Linked DNA regions of Tribolium castaneum. The protein of the gene in region 2 interacts with the protein of the main gene of each other region in a pairwise test. Links are inferred from orthologs where the notes say so. Each region holds a gene or a part of one and is shown on either strand. Other genes may lie near its edges.

Evidence for each region.
Region 1: the proteins of Not1 (region 2) and Not11 interact in binary tests that used the Homo sapiens proteins (3 or more experiments, as listed by UniProt). The link is inferred for Tribolium castaneum from reciprocal best matches to the Homo sapiens genes CNOT1 and CNOT11.

Annotation. Positions count from the first base shown.
Region 1 is NC_087396.1:20,954,655-20,958,950, reverse strand, and holds Not11 (CCR4-NOT transcription complex subunit 11), read right to left. Parts: upstream 2,708-4,296; 5' UTR 2,604-2,707; coding exon 2,566-2,603; intron 2,520-2,565; coding exon 2,428-2,519; intron 2,385-2,427; coding exon 2,239-2,384; intron 2,191-2,238; coding exon 2,065-2,190; intron 2,006-2,064; coding exon 1,703-2,005; intron 1,591-1,702; coding exon 1,381-1,590; intron 1,335-1,380; coding exon 876-1,334; 3' UTR 872-875; downstream 1-871. Other genes in the region: HSPC300 (probable protein BRICK1-B), read left to right, coding at 1-99, 145-227, 277-303; ATP synthase subunit s, mitochondrial, read left to right, coding at 305-871; MAU2 chromatid cohesion factor homolog, read left to right, coding at 3,007-3,231, 3,281-3,460, 3,510-3,632, 3,681-3,809, 3,856-4,296. UniProt on the Homo sapiens protein: Component of the CCR4-NOT complex which is one of the major cellular mRNA deadenylases and is linked to various cellular processes including bulk mRNA degradation, miRNA-mediated repression, translational repression during translational initiation and general transcription regulation.
Region 2 is NC_087394.1:30,458,267-30,462,798, forward strand, and holds the start of Not1 (CCR4-NOT transcription complex subunit 1), read right to left. Parts: upstream 3,081-4,532; 5' UTR 2,766-3,080; coding exon 2,664-2,765; exon of another isoform or gene 2,599-2,663; intron 2,417-2,598; coding exon 1-2,416. Other genes in the region: putative leucine-rich repeat-containing protein DDB_G0290503, read right to left, coding at 3,424-3,495, 3,553-3,675, 3,723-4,105, 4,152-4,532.

The DNA.
Region 1 (4,296 bases), on a different chromosome or scaffold from region 2:
CAGTCCCCAAGCCCATCCAACAAGACTGGGTAAACCGCGAATACATCGAAGTGATAACCGTCAGCATAAAAAAGATCACCGATTTCCTCAATTCTTTCGGTAAGTTTCCCCTTACTGTTGACACCTCGCAAAAATTATTTTTAGACTTATCTTGTCGATCAAAACTCGCCGTTTTAAACGAAAAGTTGACAACTCTCGAGCGAAAGATCGACTATTTGGAAGCTTGTGTAAGTCTCATTTACATAACACTGCGCTTTATTTACAAATAAACTGAAGGTCACCAAAGGGGAAACCTTGACATAAGATGCTCCTCACTCGCCTCAGCCACCTCCAAAGGCCGCTCATCCCCCACACGCGCACCCTCTTCCACTGGCTGAACATCGTCTTCAACCGCGTGGACGACGAACGACGGAAACAAGTGGGGCCTGACAGGTCTTGTGCCGAGTGGCTGTTGCGGAACGGGGCCCACGTCAAGTGGGAGCACTGCAACGAGTTTCTCACAGACTATAACAAACTGCCGAGCGACAGGATTAGGTTACACATCGTGGAAGTGAACGCGTCTGAAGCCAGCATAATGCACTACGGGTTTGACCATTTCGTGGGGTGCGAACACATCCGGAAAATCATTTTCCACAAGTGCTACTATCTGGAGAATGAGGCGTTGAAAGGGCTGTCGGTTTTAAAAAACTCATTACTTTATTTACAAATCACCGAGTGTTTGAATATAACAGAGCCGGGGCTGAGTCACCTCAACGCGTTGAATAACTTAAAAGAGCTGATTCTGGCCGATCTGCCGTACGTCAAAGAGAGGGAAAAAATCGTCGATAAATTACAGCACGGCCTGCCACATTGTACGATACAGTTCCATTAAATAATCAACCCTCGAGCTTTGCTTTCATTATCGTTGGCGAGGAGACAAGTCCGATCTGTTCCCCCGACTCCAACTGTTTCAATAGCCTGAACAAAGCGGCAGCTTCGCGAATGCGACTAAACTCGATACAAAACGCCTGAACTTCGATAAACAACTCCTGGACGTTGATTATTTTGTTGCGAATGAGCGACTGGAGAAACACACAAACCAGTCGAACCAGCCGATTTTGCATATAACGGTCCTTGATAGTCTCACAAGTCGATATGCAATTCGAAATGTACAAGTGGACAAACTCTGTGGGCAAATCCACGGTCGTTGTGAGCCGATTTACCACTTCCATGGAATGCAGCGACATTTCCATGTTGACAAGAACGCTGAAATATTCCGTTATTTGTTTCGATTGCATAAGCTTGAGCAAAACTTCAATCGCGATAAGTGGATTATTTTCCACCAGTTCGGGCAACTGCAAGCACTCAAATCAGCGAAAATCACCAAATTTCGATTCATACTTTGGACGGAGTCAAACCAATGTGGTACACAAGTTTTGAGTCGTTTTCCAGCTCGCCTAGCAGTTGTTGCTGCTGTTGCAAAGACAGCGCTGATTTGTACGCCTTGTTCATCAATTGTCTCGCCTCCTGGCCTGCTGTGTCAGGCACACACATCGTCACGTCATATGCTACAGTGTGTTCTTTGATGTTTGTCGGATTTAGCCACACCATCTTAAAAAACACAATCAAGGGTAGTAATAAATTATCACAGCTTCCTTGATTAATGGAAATTTCCCTTCGTCTCCATAGCATTAAACAAAGAAGCTGTATTATGTAACCTTACTTCATCATCTGTGTTGAGCAAAGGCGGTGCTAGTGTCACAAATTCCGGTTTGTACACTTTATTAATGGGGGCGTTATCACCGGTTGCTATAGTTTTCACAAGGGCTGCATAATCGTTCCGTTCTGTCGTATAATTGTTAGTTTTTTCAGGCAGTGATAAAACTACAGGAATTCCTGTTTTGCAAGTGTGTGGCAATTCAGACTGTTTTTCGGCTAGTAGTAATTGTACAACGGAAAAATCGAAATTTGTTTGCGTATTCCCAACGTCTGAATTGATTATTTGCGTGGCTGTTTTTTTCAAAATCTTGAAGAAAAAAAATCGTTTAGTAATTTCCTATCAGGGGAGGCCCTGGATAATCTTACAGCATCTTTGGGCACATCTGATAACAGTTGCGTTAAGAATTGTTTTTCTGGTGGTGTCAGTTTGGGTAGTTGGCCTGGATATTCCTGTTTGGGGGACCCGACACTACTCTGGTGTTCCGGGGGGTGCTAGGATAATTTCTATGTTACAATTACTAAATTTCTGTGATTACAAACCAAAAGGTGGTTGAAAACGTTGGCAAAAGGGGTGTTTGCCAGAGCTTCGCCCCGATATAACTCATACAGAAGCGTTATAGCAACAAGTTTTTGCTCAGGCTCTTTCAACAGATCTTGCTGAAGCATCATTACCAGACAAGTTCCGACTGAAAAAAACAGTTATTTGGGTAATCAAATAGCGGTTTTTACCTTTAAAATAGTCACAAGAGTCGAATTTTTTGTGCAACTCGTTCGAAAGGCTTTCTAAAGTGTGGGTTCTCACCTTTGTCTCACCCAAAATACTACAAAAACTGAATTAAAAGGGCGCCAAAATTGAACTGGTCTTACTCGAGTAAGATATCACATTGTTCCACCGTGAGGGCCATCGTTTTGCAATAAAACACCTATTTTTACGAAATTTATTTTATATACTCTAACCTATAAACCCAATTCGGACATTGACATTTATCACCATAAGACCGAAAAATCTAGTCGGCCAAACACACCTAAACCCGTGTTTTTCGTCAAAAATAAAAAAATAAAAAGCAGGAAAAAAGTTTTTAATGCAATATTCAATAAACTAATCAACTGAAATAATCAATAAGTTGATTAATTAGAATAATCAATGAATGGGAGTTGGAGTTTTCGACCTTATGCGGACCCGACCGCCGCATTTTCGCCCATGTGTGGTGTTTGGCGTTTGGCTTGACAGTCGACCCAAAATATTTCAATTTTGCGCAAAAACCATGTTTGGGTGCGAATTTTGTGTAAAATAATCAATCCCTCGCGATGGCTTCGTCCCAAGACGCTTGGTACCTGTCCCTCCTGGGGCTAGCCGAGCATTTCCGCACCTCGAGCCCCCCTATGATCAAGCTCTGCATCCAGTGCCTCCAGGCTGTGTTTAATTTTAAACCACCGCCGCGGGTCGAAGCTCGCACTCATTTACAACTCGGAAACATACTTTTGACCCATACCAAGAACACGGACTTGGCGAAAAACCACTTGGAACAAGCGGTAAGTGCGCCCCTTGATTTAACACTCATTTGGACGTGATTGAATTCAGTGGTTGTTGTCACAAATGATCAACACCTTTGACGATGTTAAATTCGAAGCGGCGAGCGTTTTGGCCGAATTGTACGAACAACAGCAGCAAATTTCGCTGTCTAAGCCCATTTTGAGGAAAGCGATCGAGTTGTCGCAACATAATGTTTACTGGCATTGCAGGCTAATTTTCCAGCTTGCGGTAATTAATTATACAATTTGGCAGAACTATTTTAATTGTAAAATTATAGCAAATTCACGCAACTGAGAAAGACTACCAGTTGGCCAGTAGTCTGCTGGGTGTTGGGGTGGATTATGCCCACATCTCGAATGCTTGTTACACTCGAGTTTTGTTTCTTTTAAGTAAAGGAATGGTAAGACTTTAATTAAATCACAAAATTGGGCTAAAATTGTAATTTTAGTTATTATTGATTGACAAAAAGTTGCAAGAAGTCCAGCCAGTATTAAACCAAGCCGGTCACTTGATTGAAACTTGGACAGGCGCTGCGTACCAGAAGGAATACCTCCGAGTGTATTTTTTGGTGTTGCAAGTCCGTTACTCAATTTGATTGGTTTTGTGCTCAAAGCAATTTTCAGGTGTGCCATTGTCTAATGGCCGGTCAGGTAAAAAGCGTAAAACCTTGCCTGAAGCAGTTGCAACAAAGCATACAAACAATAATGGCAACGGATGATGTTTTTACAGGGCCAAGTGTTGGCGATATGTTCTTATGGATGCCCAAAGAGCATCTCTACGTTTTGGTTTATTTGGTAACTGTGATGCACAGTATGCAGGCCGGTTATATGGAAAAGGCCCAGAAATACACCGATAAGGCGTTAATGCAAATCGAGAAATTGAAAAGTTGGTTTTTGTACACTTATCTGACACGTCCAACAATTCTAACAGTTGTAGATAATAAGCCGATTTTGTCGGTTTTCCAGTTAATGTTACTCGAACATATAATTATGTGTCGTCTTGTGATGGGTAACAAGACTCAAGCCTTGCAAGAAATCTCCTCAGCTGTGGCTCTTTGTCGGCAA
Region 2 (4,532 bases):
AATAGCTATTAGCTTCGTCTTCAATATCCTTCGATACGTTGGGCGACATTTCCGGGAACAAGTTATATTCAGGAATCCTGCTTTTATCAATATTCGAAGCCGGGCCCATCCTTCCAATATTCCCGATTTGATTAACTCCCAAAACCAGCGACGAACTGGTCCCTACTGGTCCCTGATGTTGCAACGGCATCATCGGAAACGGACTGTTTGAAGGACCAGCACCCAAAATCCGCGAAGGAGACCCGGGAGACTGCACTAGCGGCCCGAGTCCCCCTTGCAAATTAAACGCCGAACTAGTGGGCCCCGACATTGTCATGCTGGCCAAATTCGTGGTCAAACCGGGAATAGTATCGACAGCAGAGTGGTTGTAAAGCTGTCCCGACATTGCCGAAACACTGAACGGGCCTTCAACGCCCCTGGACCTAACAAGAGCCGGCTGTTGACGCGATTTCAGTAAAATACTGCAACCGGTGGTGACGTTGATTATCGCCTCTTGGCACTCGGGACTGACGCTGTTCATGCAAGATTGCAAACAAATCATAATCGTGGTCAAAGTTTCGTTGGGTAGGGACGAAGCTTTGGTCATAGCGTCGTCACTTTTGCCCAGGATTTGCGGGCAACGGCGGTGCAAAAACTTGACGCAAGCTTGGACAAAAGGCTCGCCGTGTTCTCTGATTTTATCCGAGAGCCACTTTTCCAGCTTGAGGTACTCACGTCTGGATGCAAGACAAGCCAAGTCGATGATGAACGGATAAGATTGTTGGTTTTGGGCGTTTAGGAGCATTGAGAGGGCTTTCAGGTCTTGGGCAACGTCCAGAATTCGGGACAGTCTCGTTTGATCGCAGTCGCTTCGCACATACCATTCGGCCATGGCATGCATTATTATGGATTTGATATTGATGTTGGTGGTGTGCCAGGCATGGTGTAGTATTATGGCAGAGTTTGGGTGATTCAGGAGAAAGATTGGGATCAAGTTGGAGAGTAATTCTTGTCTGAGGAGCGTTACAGGCCCTTGTATTTGTAACAATGCGAGGACTAAGACATCAGGACAGTTGTGCATTGGATATTTGAACAGTTCTTGAACGTAAGTGAACAAGCCACATTCAGACATGTGCAGGAGCAACTCGACCAGATTTAACGATCTCCAATTGGCCAGTTCCTTGCTGTCTTGTTCCGGTGGTGTTTTGAGAACGTCAACACTGACGGTCATCGCGGGATAGTCAGCAAAACAGAACACATCTGGATTTTTGAGAACATGTTGAACGAGACTGAACTGCCCCTCGACGTTCGTCCATCTCTTATAAAATTGGTCAATTGGAAAAGTTTCCGGGTGGAATCCCAGCGTCTGGAGGCCATGTCGAAGTGCACTTATTAGAATAATGAGTCCTTGTCTATCTTTAATAATAAATTCGGGATGGTCCAACTCGGCCACAGTGTTGGCCCATTGAAAGTTCGGCACGACCTCTTTCAACGCCTGGACGAAAACCTCCACGTTCCAAGTGCGCCCCTCATTGCCCTTATTAAAACTGCCTGGCGATTGTAGACTGAGTGAATCTTCAAGGCCACTGTGTGTTCGGCACATAACGGTAAGGATCCGAGCGACTGTTGCAGGGGTGATGTCGCGTCCCCCAAGCTTCATCAAGTTGTTCCGACATTCTTCCACCGACGAAGTAAAACCGAAACCGATCTCAGCCACCAGATCGGCCAGCGAAGTCTCTAACATGCCCCCGGATAAACCGGGGCCTTCGGATGACATTTCCGGCGACAATTCACAATGTTCGGGGTAAACTAACGGTGCTAACACTACGGGAACGAGGTCTTTGGGGAAGTCGCGCTGGAGAGTGTCGAGAAACGCCCGGTGCGCGTTGTTGGTGAGCCCAACGTCTTTGGGGGCTTTCAGAACAGCGGAGAGGATCAAGTGGAGGACCTCGGGGGTGGTCTCGTGGAGGCCCCCTTCGTGCTGGCGGGTGCTGCCTTCAGTCTCGATATACGACTGGATGAGAGTCGGAACCGTTAACCGTAAATGTGCCTGGGCTAAAGACGAAACTTCCTGGTTTGAAGAGTGGCGAAGGGCGAGAGCGAAAACGACTTCCTGGACAGCTGAGAGGCGAAGGCACTTGCTCAACTGCTGGAAGAACTGGGGTCCGAATTTGAAAGCCTGTAACGGAACCGCTGCAGAAAAAGTGACCCACCGAAGCGGTTTTGTTACCTTGTTGGTGCTCAATGGATTGTCTGTGATGTAGCAAACAGACGTCAGCAGCGAGGGTTTGTTCAACAAGTTCGAACACTGCTCTAACAATGCTTGATTTTGGGGAGATGGAGCGGTTATTTTGCTTGTAGATTCAGAAAAGTCCACTGATGAAAATAGACATTGGAGCAAGTGACGGTCCGCCTCCAGACCATGCAAAGTTACCAACTATAAAACGAACGTTTGATCAAATTTAAAAGCTGTTTAAGTGATAAGAAGCACTCTGATAATCTGAATGACATTTTGCAAGAACGTGAACGAAAAAAATAATAACAATCAAAACACCTTTGTTCACCACAACATTGCTCGATCGGTAACTGTGCGTGACAGCTGGCATGGAAAAGATGGCCGATTTGTCAATCTGATAATTTTAGTCCACGCATTTGCAACGGTTCAAATTTTCCGCTACTCTTACCTTTGAGAGTTCGGCAACGACTTGCTTGTAGTTCTTTTTGGTTAATGATGCAACTAAATAACTTATTTGTGACAAGGTAAAAGACAACGAGTCTAGGTTCATAGTTCCATGAACACGGCCTCGAAAGCTTCAAATACTTTTGAAGCTTTCTTAGGTATGCACGGGGCTTTTATCCACAAAGTCTTATGTATTTTTGAAAAACAACTAAATTTTAAATGGTCCAAGACCATCATCGAATCTTTAATGTACTTTTCACCACTTTAATTTACCAGAATCATCTTTTGACTCACGCAACACACAACACATGCATCGAATAAAACATATGTATGAAACTACGCATGACCAACAACGAGCTCACTATCCTGAGGGGATGTGTGGTTATAGTTACGTGTATTTTGATTATTTTTCCAGAAAAGACGCGCAAAAAAAAACTACACCACCCGGAACACGCACGAAAATGGCAGGAAAACGTCAACTTTTCACATGTGCTTCGAAAGCCGAAGAAAACTAATGATCCGAATTTGAAACTGCAGCGGCACCTCACGTCATGAACGGTAAGTTCTACCCGCTCTTTTCACCCGAATTCAAAATAAAAACGTTATCTCCATTTACTTATCGCATGTTATCTTATCACTCAGTGTGAATAAAGGACAGATAAAAATAAAACGAACTGGCAAAGATATATTTCTTTATTTCTTAACTGTTCAAAATACAAATTGTAATTAAAACATGTAGAATATTGAAAATGAAGATGAAGCTTTCAGGATTTGCTATGCCTCTCAGCAACTATTTTCTTCATCTTTTCCTTATAAATATTTTCTATTAATTGAATCTGGAATAGAGATTGATTAAATAAACAAGAAATGCGTTACACGTAGCATGTTATTACCTCTCGGTCATTTAAAACCATTTTTTTCAGGACATTTTTCACGTTCTTGTTGGTCTGCTTTTCAATTTTTGTTGCATTATACATATACGCTTCCAAAAGGGACGCCCATCGCTTGTTTAAATCCTGTAATAAAACGATGAATTGCTCTTACTTGAAGAAAAAATCGGTACCTCAAAAGCTTTTTTATGGTTCGTGGCCAGTTTGTTATACTTGTCCAGAACCGCGATGTTGCTACTTTTATACGTTTTGCACTCCTGGATGAGGATGTGCAAGCGCTTGGCTAACTCAATGTTTTCCTTTTCTAAAGTTTCCATCTTACGCCCACATTCCTCCAAAACTGCAGCAAACTGTTTGCGATAATTTGCTTCCTGAATCTTCCACTTTTCCTTCTCCTTGTGATACAAATCGGACCGCTGTTGAATGACTTTCTTGTATTCCTCTTCGATTTTTTCCATTTTCTTTGAATTTTCTTCTTGCAACCGATCACGCAACAACAATTCGGTTTTCAAGAGCTGTGCTTGCAAACATTTTTGAAACACGTCGCTGGTCACAACTACAAGTTCAGGGATAGGAGTAGTAAATTTAAAACACAAACCTACTATCGCTGTTTCTTTTATCTTGTTCCAAACCACTTTCAACGTCTGACAACTCTTTGAATAACTTTTTCCGCACCACATCTTCATTTACTCCATTGACTGTCTTTTGCAAGTCTATGGTCTCCTGTTTTGCATCATTCAGCTGCTTCTGAGTGTTTTCCAGTTGTTTTTCAATCTCTAATTTATTTTGTTCCATCACTTTAATACATTTTTTATAATTGAGAATTTCGTCTTTCAATTTTTGAATAGTGTGCCCATTATCTACCGATTCTTTCAACAAATTGTTCCTGTTTTCAGTCAAAGCAGCAATTTCCTTTTTCATTTCGGCAATTTCATTAGTGCAGCGCCTCAGCTCATAGTCTAGGGCAAATTTTTCACCCTCTA